2 linked regions of the Ovis aries genome follow. The protein of the gene in region 1 binds, or shares a complex with, the protein of each later gene. Links are inferred from orthologs where the notes say so. Each region holds a gene or a part of one and is shown in the gene's direction. Other genes may lie near its edges.

What was found. Proteins that work in one complex are often made in the same cells at the same time.
Region 2: the proteins of AP3B1 (region 1) and AP3M1 are in contact, whole or in part, in a cryo-EM structure (PDB 9C5A), measured with the Homo sapiens proteins. The link is inferred for Ovis aries from reciprocal best matches to the Homo sapiens genes AP3B1 and AP3M1. Residues at the interface, in NP_003655.3 of Homo sapiens: Leu60, Lys64, Val67, Gly68, Ile70, Ala71, Lys72, Gly73, Ile92, Glu93, Lys96, Leu97, Val100, Arg104, Glu107, Asn128, Gln129, Leu130, Arg137, Arg143, Ser163, Pro164, Tyr165, Lys168, Asn169, His172, Gln175, Lys176, Leu202, Ser206; in NP_001307192.1 of Homo sapiens: Met1, Phe15, Leu16, Glu17, Trp20, Lys21, Ser22, Val23, Gln26, Val42, Glu43, Asn44, Val45, Pro46, Pro47, Val48, Ser50, Tyr55, Ser58, Ile59, Tyr60, Gln71, Thr72, Glu73, Val74, Pro75, Pro76, Leu77, Phe78, Ile80.

The regions. Positions count from the first base shown.
Region 1 is NC_056060.1:9,250,051-9,254,528, reverse strand, and holds part of AP3B1 (AP-3 complex subunit beta-1), read left to right. Parts: intron 1-2,269; coding exon 2,270-2,456; intron 2,457-3,425; coding exon 3,426-3,556; intron 3,557-4,478. UniProt on the Homo sapiens protein: Subunit of non-clathrin- and clathrin-associated adaptor protein complex 3 (AP-3) that plays a role in protein sorting in the late-Golgi/trans-Golgi network (TGN) and/or endosomes.
Region 2 is NC_056078.1:29,207,514-29,212,603, reverse strand, and holds the end of AP3M1 (AP-3 complex subunit mu-1), read left to right. Parts: coding exon 1-64; intron 65-1,367; coding exon 1,368-1,512; intron 1,513-1,981; coding exon 1,982-2,082; 3' UTR 2,083-4,056; downstream 4,057-5,090. UniProt on the Homo sapiens protein: Part of the AP-3 complex, an adaptor-related complex which is not clathrin-associated. The complex is associated with the Golgi region as well as more peripheral structures.

The DNA.
Region 1 (4,478 bases):
AGAATGAAATGAAATTGAGAAGGCAGTTGATTTTGCAGTAGCTCAATTTGATGAAATATTAAACTATAGAGAATTATTCAAAAGTTTTATCTCATAAAGATAGTTTTGTTGGAGGGAAAAAATTTAAATATCTAGGCTTGAAATATTTACAAATTTTAACATGAAAGCATTGAGAGTATCCTTTATTCAACAGAATTTTTTCTATGCTTATTGGACCATTCAAACTGTAAAGAGGGCACTTTCTCCATTAAAAATATTAAGTTCTATAGCAAAGAATAAGTTGCAAATGTCAGTACTTTCATAATTAGTGATCATAAAGTTCCATTTTGAAGATAATTCCATTTTGAAGACATAAAATTGTATTCTTTAGATAAATACCAGTGACTTGGTTTTAGAGATAGAGCTAAGAAATTGATTAAGGTATGTGAATAAAGAGGTATGTGAGTAAATTAATTATTCTGTTTATGTTTTTAATGTATCATGGGACCTGGATATGTTTTTATCTTTTAGAATTTTAATTTTGAAAATACACGTGCTATAATTATTTCATAACCCACCAATATAATAAAGCAAGTTTTATAGTCAATAAGTGCATATTATGGAAATTATATAATCTTAATAACTTAAAATTTTCTGTCTCACTTTAAATAGAGTCAGTTAATATTTCAAATAATTAACTTCCTAAAACTTAATTTCAGAGACTAGAAATGAAAGCGGGATGAATCACCCCACTGGCTTAAAAAAGTGCTGCAGTGAATAGGCTTTTTAATCTGATTTATTCTAGGTGCGTATTCTAAATCCCAGCATTCAGATATACTGTAGAGAGTTAGCTTCGTTATGAATTCTCACTACAGTTGAAGAAACTTAACAGTAGGATGTATTTTCCAGGTTATCTCAGCAAGTTGATTGCACAGTCCAGTGTACCTTGGATTGACCTGGGTTATTCACTTGGTGACTGTTTGGCTGATTGTCCTTAAAAAATCAATCATAGAAATTTTCTTATGTGTCGTTGAACCAACCTAGTCTAGTAATTAGTGAATAGCAGTTGTTGTTAACCAAATTTAGAATAGCTCTATTAATACTTTTCATCTGTATTTTTTGTAGTTCTACTTTAGTAAAACTAGGTTAATGGTTTTTAAATAGATTGTTGCTGAAAGAAGGTTGCTTTCTATCCAAATCAATTATCTTAATGAATTAATATTGTAAAAGAGTTTGCCACACCATTCTTGTATCTTGACTTGTTGGTTTAGAACTATCTTCAGCTCTGCCTGACTTGATGGATTTTATTGTCTTTAATCCATTTCTGATGTCTATAAAATGTTCTAAGGTAGATGTTTATTTTTTCCATGTATTATGAATCCTGTTTATGGTTAGAATTGTATACGTGTAACCTTCTAAATTAAAATTATGCTTTTTCAATAAAGTAATGAGTTGAAAATACAAACCTTATTTTGTTAACATTTCAATTTTGGTTTAATTATTATTAAAATTATCTCAATATATGTTAATGTAGTACAGTCAAAAATTGACTTAGGAAATCTTATTAGAGTGTAAAAGCTACTATAATAAGTTGTTCCCTAACATAAATAAATAAATGACCAATATTACTAGAGGCCATAAGCAATATGGGGGAAAAAATGGAAGGAGTCTTTTATCCTAGTTTTTAGAGGGCATCAGCAGCTTGCTTTTATGAAAAAGTAACAGCTAAATGCACTGCAAATAATTTGCAGTAATCCAGTTCAGTGATTCATGTGTCTGCTTTAATGGGTCATAATTCAGGGTAAAGTAACTGAGTGCAGACACTGCTTATGCCGGGGACAGTATCTCTTCATAAAGCACACCTCAGGAGAAGCAGTTTGCCAGCCCCCTAATGCTCTCTGATGTTTTGATGTCCTGCATATTTTTCCGATTAAGTTTTGAGTGCCATGTTTTTAGTTGTATTTCCACATTCATTATTCTCACGTAGACCCTTCAGCGGGTTTGCCATATATGATTATTTTTTTAATGATGCCTTTCTTTCCACTTCAGCAGTTTAATAATCTAGCACATGGCTGCTTCTCAGTGCTCAGCATTCACCTCCCCAATACTGAAGAGGACATGTGCTTTGGCTTCAGAATTCCATTTGCAGTGTTAGAAATGCATATTCCCTATGGAACAACATTTGTTTGACATAACCATTCATTTTTATTACCTCTTTAAATATGTTTATCCAGAGTTATCAATAATCATAAATAACTGTATTCTCATCTTGTTCTGTTTTTTCCAACAGACAAAATTGCTTACCCAGTACATATTAAATCTCGGCAAGTATGATCAAAACTACGACATCAGAGATCGTACAAGATTTATTAGGCAGCTTATTGTTCCGAATGAGAAGAGTGGAGCTTTAAGTAAATATGCCAAAAAAATATTTCTGGCGCAGAAACCCGCACCACTGCTTGAATCTCCTTTTAAAGGTATTATTATCAGAATATACCTACAGAATATTATATGTTATCTTAAAAATTATGATATTATATCCCACTTCTAACATGTTTAAAATTTATCTCTTAGAAAATATGTGATTAGTGTGTATAAATATATAAATACGAAAAGTGTGCTTTCTATTCATTCATCTCTTCTCCGAAACAAGCTTTATATTAGTTCAAGTTTATGTTTTTATAGGCCTTATTTACCTAAATAATTTCAGTCTTCTGGCGTTTATTCTTACCAAATGACTTGACTGAACAATAGATGAAAGCTGTGTTGTTTTTGCAGACATTGACTTCATTTCTGGTTTAAATAGATAGCTTTGTTTAATAAGGGATATATAATTCACCTTAATAGTGAGTTATTAAGTATTTTGTGTACACTAACATAAGCTTTTCCGGAAAGAATTATTTCATAGAAATATTCCTTTATATTTGTTTGCTTTTCAGAGATGGAAATTGACTTATTTTCCCCAGCTTTTTAAAAGGAGTAATTTATCAGTTTCACAAGTAGCCATTACAGTAGGAATCAAATGATTATATACTTTGGTTTTCATATTGTTTCTTATTTAATTGTTGTAAAGGGATAAAAAGCAGTTCAGTTTTGTAGTAAAACTATTAAAATTCTGAATGTGTTGGTGGCAAGACATGTATATGGATTGTTTAACTGTGCTGTCATTCTTAATATTCACAGTAAAGTAATTTTTAGAGAAGCTACATATCAGAGCAACACCTCTAAACACACTGACTGATTAGCTTTTTTATTGACCATTATCGGGGAGATTATTGTAATCTATGGACTGAAATCAGTTTTTTTGACCTGTGAAGAATTTCCTAGTTTATATTTATTCCTTGACATTTGAGGTAATATGCCAATTACCTTGAGCTCTGATTAGGATTGTTCTCTGTTATATGCAGCTCAGATTGTTTATTTTATATTTTCCTTTATTTTAATAGATAGGGATCATTTCCAGCTTGGCACTTTATCTCACACTCTCAACACCAAAGCAACTGGGTACCTGGAATTATCTAATTGGCCAGAGGTGGCGCCTGACCCATCAGTTCGAAATGTAGAAGTAATAGAGTTGGTAAGTTGACCTTTCTGAAATTAATTTTGTCAAGCAGTAGGAGATTCTAGGATAGCTGCTGTTTTGTATAAAAGCTTTTTTTGGGGGGTGGAAAACTTGTTCTGGTATTTCTAAATGTAATGTGTTAGATATATCTTGCTGCTATGGGAACTAAATATTGTAGTATTCCTATGTCATTGTACATGTACTGTTCCTTTTCTTCAAGGAAATAGAGAATTGAATTCTCTGCATCAGTGCCACCCACATTTGTGATACTGCATTTGTAGCTGTGCAGATTCAATTTCTAAGGTATTTAGTTTCATTGAGTTGAGCTTTTCCCACTTAGTTTAGAGACTCATAAGCTTCCTGTCAATATTTTCCAAATCATTTTTGCTATCTCTTCCAGAAACCATACAAAGTGTTCTTTTGGCTTTTCTGAGGAACCTTTTTCACATGAAGCCAAATATAAATAGGAAGCATTATGTACCAAAAATATCCTTGAACAAGGTCACAATTAATGAATAATATATGGCTTCACATTAAAAAAAAAGGTCTCTGTATAAATACTCTTTTCCTAGGTCTTTATAACATGCTGGCCACTAAAATAAGAGAATTGATGTTCTTTCCTAGTATTATCTCTTTCTTTCTTATAAACAAGAAAAATAAGGAGAGGGGTCTTCTGATTGTCTTTAGAGATTGATTATGTGAAATGTATCTGATATTTTTTTAAATAGAATTAATAAAAAGAACAATTATGTATTACATCCTGGGTGCCTTTCCAGTACAGCACATATGCTGAACTAGGATTCAGGTAACTAGTCTTTATCTATAATTCCTATGAGAAAGTCAGTTAATCTTCTTGCCTACTGACTTTTCCCTTTACAATGGGGAAAAAACTGTCTTCCTTTAAATAGAAGAATTCCGTACCCACACTTTGCAGCTT
Region 2 (5,090 bases), on another chromosome or scaffold:
AGTTGTGTTGAATATGAACCTGACACCAACACAAGGCAGCTATACTTTTGATCCAGTTACCAAGGTACAGTCACCTAAAATCAAGAGTGAGCAAGTGTTTCTGCAATCCTTATTTTGTGATTTGGGGACATGGGAGGACAGAGGGAAGGGTCTAATATCTTGGTTGAAATTAAAGCTCTAACAGCCTAGAATGCAGATTGTGCTGTGCTCTGCCACAGGAGAGAATCTTGCATCTGCTGCTAAGTTGATGAGCAGAAAAGTGAGATTCATTCCTTCTTCCTTCAGAATCTGCCTTTTCTTATACATTGATAATCCAGAGGTTCACTAACTCTTCAATGAGGAAGATATAAAAACTTTTTAAAAAGAGAAAAGCATTATGTGCATATAATAATCTATTAATGGTTAATAGATATTACAGTGTATTAATTGTTAAGAAATTAAGATCTTTCTCTTCCTTTTTAATTTAAAAGCATTATTTCATACTCTTCTACAGAGGATGCTGACTAGGAAAGTTGCCTTCTCACCCTCTATATGTTTGCCTCTAGCAGAGGGAGTTCAGAGAAACTGTAAAAGCTGATTTTTCTCTCTGCTTCCTGCTTGGGTAAAGGAATGATTCTTTTCCTCAATAGAGTCATTGAGCTGCATAGTAAATGAAAAGTCTTTTTTTATTTAACTATAAAATCATTGAATGTTAAAGATCATCTAATCTATTCCTAAGAAGTCAAAGAATCTCCCCAGAGACCACACAGGGCTGAGAAATTAAGCAGGAGCTCCAGATCCCTAGCCTTCACCCCAGCTTCAACCATAACAGCTTTATTTTCTCATCTGTTACTGAGCTCCCTCACTAGGTATTTCATTTGAACAAAGGGTTCCATCACTAAAAGTTTAAAAGCACTGATTTAGGCCCATCTTCTCATTTTACAGAAAACTAAACTTAAGCCCAGAGAGAAACAGTAAAGATGGCATAGTGGAAAGGATGTTTGATACCAGATAGCCTTAGGGTCAAATCCCAACCTTTCCTCTAGCTATGTGACCTTCAGCAAGTCATCTGACTCCAGCTTTAGTTTCTTTGTTTGTCAAAATTAGACAAAGTTTTACATCACAGACTTCCGAGACAGCGTGAGAATAGTGCTGAGCACAGTATTATATCCAAAAGTAGATGCTCAACAAATGCATCTACTCCTTTTTTCACTCCCCATTCAGAGTCACAGAACTAACTAGTGGTAAAACTCAGTGGGAATCCCAGGTCTCTTATTCCAAGACACTGTGCTTTATTTTCTACAGAAGTTTATGGTCTTTGAACCTTGTCTTTGAACATTTGTCTTTAATAAATAGTTCAGAATGTTTTCTGTTTTTTTCTTTCTAAGGTACTAACGTGGGATGTGGGGAAAATCACTCCACAAAAGCTCCCCAGTCTTAAAGGACTGGTAAATTTACAGTCTGGGGCTCCCAAGCCAGAAGAGAATCCAAGCCTCAACATACAGTTCAAGATCCAACAGCTTGCTATTTCAGGTAAGGAGAAATTTGATGTGTGTAAGGGTTAACTGAGTTTTGCTGAGGTCAGCTGCTAGGAGCTTCGAAGAGTAACTGACATTCCGTCTCTTCAAAGAGCAACTACTCCAGTATGCCTCTCACTCTCCTTGATTTTTGAGAGTGATTTTGGAGAGCACCTTATTTCACATAGCTTCCCTTCACCCCTACCCTCATTCAGGCACAAAGAAAGAAATCATTTATACTCAAAGAAAGTAGAATTATCCTTAAAAGACATTGCTTGTCCATATGGGAATCTGAACTAAAATCATACCCTCCTAGTACTTGAATCTGTGAATGCTAGAAGGAACATTGCTTCCAGATCTTGAAATGGACACTGGCTAATGTCAGATTTACTGTATAGTAAACTGTTTCTTAAGCAAATATTGTACTGGTTGGTGTGACCAGGACTGTAATTTGTTCCTTTCCTTATGTGTTCTTTTTGACACAGGCTTAAAAGTAAACCGCTTGGACATGTATGGGGAGAAATATAAGCCATTTAAAGGAGTCAAATACGTCACAAAAGCTGGAAAGTTCCAAGTGAGGACATGAGAAGAGGCCAGAATTCCTGAAGATTTATTTGTTTTCCAGGCGTCATCACAATGTATTACTATTAGGTACCAATTGGGTGGGAATACATATTCTAGTTAAAGCATTTATGTCTAGCCACATACCGCTAACAGAGTTGCTTAGTTATCGATGCAGGGTTCTTAAGGAACTTTAAGCTAAGGAAACTTCTGAATGACTTAGCTTATTTGTACCTTGTCACTTAGGAAAGTTTTAGAGGTGATTTCCTCCATAGGAAGGCACCAGCTAGAGGCTGCACATTTTCACAGTCAAGGCAGAAGTCTACAGTGATAACCTCTCCCCTAAAACAAGTGAACCGGTCTCAGCCAGCAGACGCTGTCTTAGTCTGTAACGTGATGTATCAAGTGGAGCCAAGTGTCACACTTGATCGTAGCCATCCCCAATCATCTGTCCCAACAGAGGAATAGTTCCTCCCACCCAAGAAGTTTACAAAAAACTGCCTCTTCAAGTGTTTGCCTTATTCAGCTTTTCACTTGTGCCATTAAGCAAGCACTGTAGCAAAAGCCACTCCACATGGCCCTGGCAGGGAGCACTGCTGCTCCATGCTCCATTCTCACTGTACTTGGTATTGTATTTTTTATAAATAAGATTTTTATGTAAAGCTGATTTTGATTTATAGGGACCTTGCTGCAGGAAGTACACTCTCAGTTTTGTGCCACTTAGCTCATCTGTTAGCACAGTAAAAGTCATTTGTATCAAAGGGGCAAATGCTCTAAGGTAATAAAAGGGAACACTACTTCTACTTCTGCTTTTAGGAAGTTATTGCAAGCACAAGCATTTGAGATTTTGAGCAAACTAACATAGTAAAAGAGAAACTTAAGTGAACCTTTGCCGTCTTCATGTTTTATAAAGCTTGTCTGATACCACTTAGAACCAATTAGCCTAAAGCCCTCATGCCCTAGTTCAGCTAAAGGAAGAAAATGTGCCTGCCTCAATACTGTCAAATTATTATTTTTTTAATCTTTTATCTTTTTTCTTTCCTTTTCTTAATGGATTCAGTTTGCCTACATTCTTTGCTTTCAGGGGGACTCCCTTTACATAGTGTGTGCTACCCAAGGCTATAGTCAAAAGATTCCTCTCTGAAACTATTGTTGAAACTGTCACTGGAATACTTAAATATCTCTACTCTACTGACCAAGTAGGTGAAAGTACATATATAATAAGGCAGAAACAAAATCCTCAGTAACATTGATAAACCTGTATTGATCTTTGTGGTTGGCGAGTCAGCCCGCAGTTATCTTTTAACTTGGATGACTTAGAAGTCCTTGCCCACTTATTTTGGTTCATTAGACATGAAGAATAAAGTTAAGATCTAAGTGCTTGTTCTTGCTATTAGTTTTCTCCCTGTAACTCCATTCATTTTGTTCTTCTCAACTTATAATTCCCTTTCCCATATGCTAACAGTAGCCCTTCCACTCACCCCATTCTCCTGTCAAGGGCTGGTGGTTGGTGCTGATATAGGGAGCCCACTGCACAGCAGCATTCTTTGCTGCCTATGGCACCAAGCCTGCCTTCCATCTAATCTGAAAGATCACATTTTGCAGTTTATAGGACAACCAGTATCAGCTTGGCAGCTAAAATTAAGATGTTGCCAAATGTTTATTCCCTTTGCATAAGGTTGGTTACCAAGTTCAGTTGCTTTTCATTTTAATGTCTTCCTTTTCAGAGTTCATACCTCAAAAGAGCGATCAATACATTTGTTCTTCTTTCTGCAGAATCCCTCAACCATCCATATATGGACTAATTTTCTTTCTCTACTACCCTCCCAAATCCCAGCAGATTGTATGCCAAGAGTCCTTTGCCTCTAGTAACTTCTGCTAAAACTTCCAAGGAGACTGTTTCCTTTTATAATTAAATTATTGTATTTATTAATTTGATGGAATCCAGTAAGTCCTTTCTCCAGCTCTGGCTACACTGTCAATAAAAAGATGAAAGCAACAAGTTGACTTTTTTTAGCTTGACTGTTAATTGAGCATTCTCAGATGCACATGCCTCAGTGTTCAAATAGGCTGAAAATGAAACTCGCTCCGTTGTGTCTCTTTGCAACCCCATGGTATACAGTCCATGGAATTCTCCAGGCCAGACTGGAGTGGGTAGCCTTTCCCTTCTCCAGAGGATCTTCCCAACCCAGGGATCAAACCCAGGTCTCCCACATGGCAGGTGGATTCTTTAGCAGCTGAGCCGTGATCCCGTTTTACCCAGCATCATCACACGAGGTGTGAAGGCTGCAGCAAAGCACTTCCAAATGCTCCTCTCCTGACTATGTTAATAGCCCGTATCTAAGATTCACCCTTCCAGCCCAGACTGAAGAAGTGATCGGAGCTCCTCTCCCTACCACCACCTGCTGACAACTAAGATCCATGAGTACTTAATCATAATGAAGTATTTTTCAAGTACAGAATTCCAGATAGTTCAAGAATAGCTTCTTGTTCTAATTCTTAAGGGAGTATAACCCAAAAGCTTATTTTCTGCATAAAGGAGTCACCATCATTTTATTCAAAGGGAGTTCATGTGATGGGTTCTCTTTAAGTGCCACTGTAGAAGAATCCGTGGAAGATAGTGATCCTGTAGTCCTTTGAGTCATCTGATTTGAGAAGAATGAGAATGCAGGAGGAAGGCCGTACCAGTGAACATATGGTGAGGAGCAAAAATGAGGCCATGACTACTGTTTCCAGATATTGCTGAGCTAATTCAGTAGCCTTGGACATTGCCCTGTAAGTTGAACACCCAGAATCTGCCTCCCTAGTCAGCAGCTTTTCTAAGTTAAAGCAGTGATAAATGTAGTCAGCAGTCCTCTCCCTCTTTAGTGATATTTGGATCTAGAAAATCAATCAAAAATACTGATGTCCCAGCTCCACTTTAAGAACCTGTTCCTACTCTTTGAGCTTCCTCAAGCAAGAAGAGGAATATGTCCCCAGAAGCTAGCTCTGCCTCACAGCCCTGTTTGGATCCCTAGACTTCAGACTCTGACA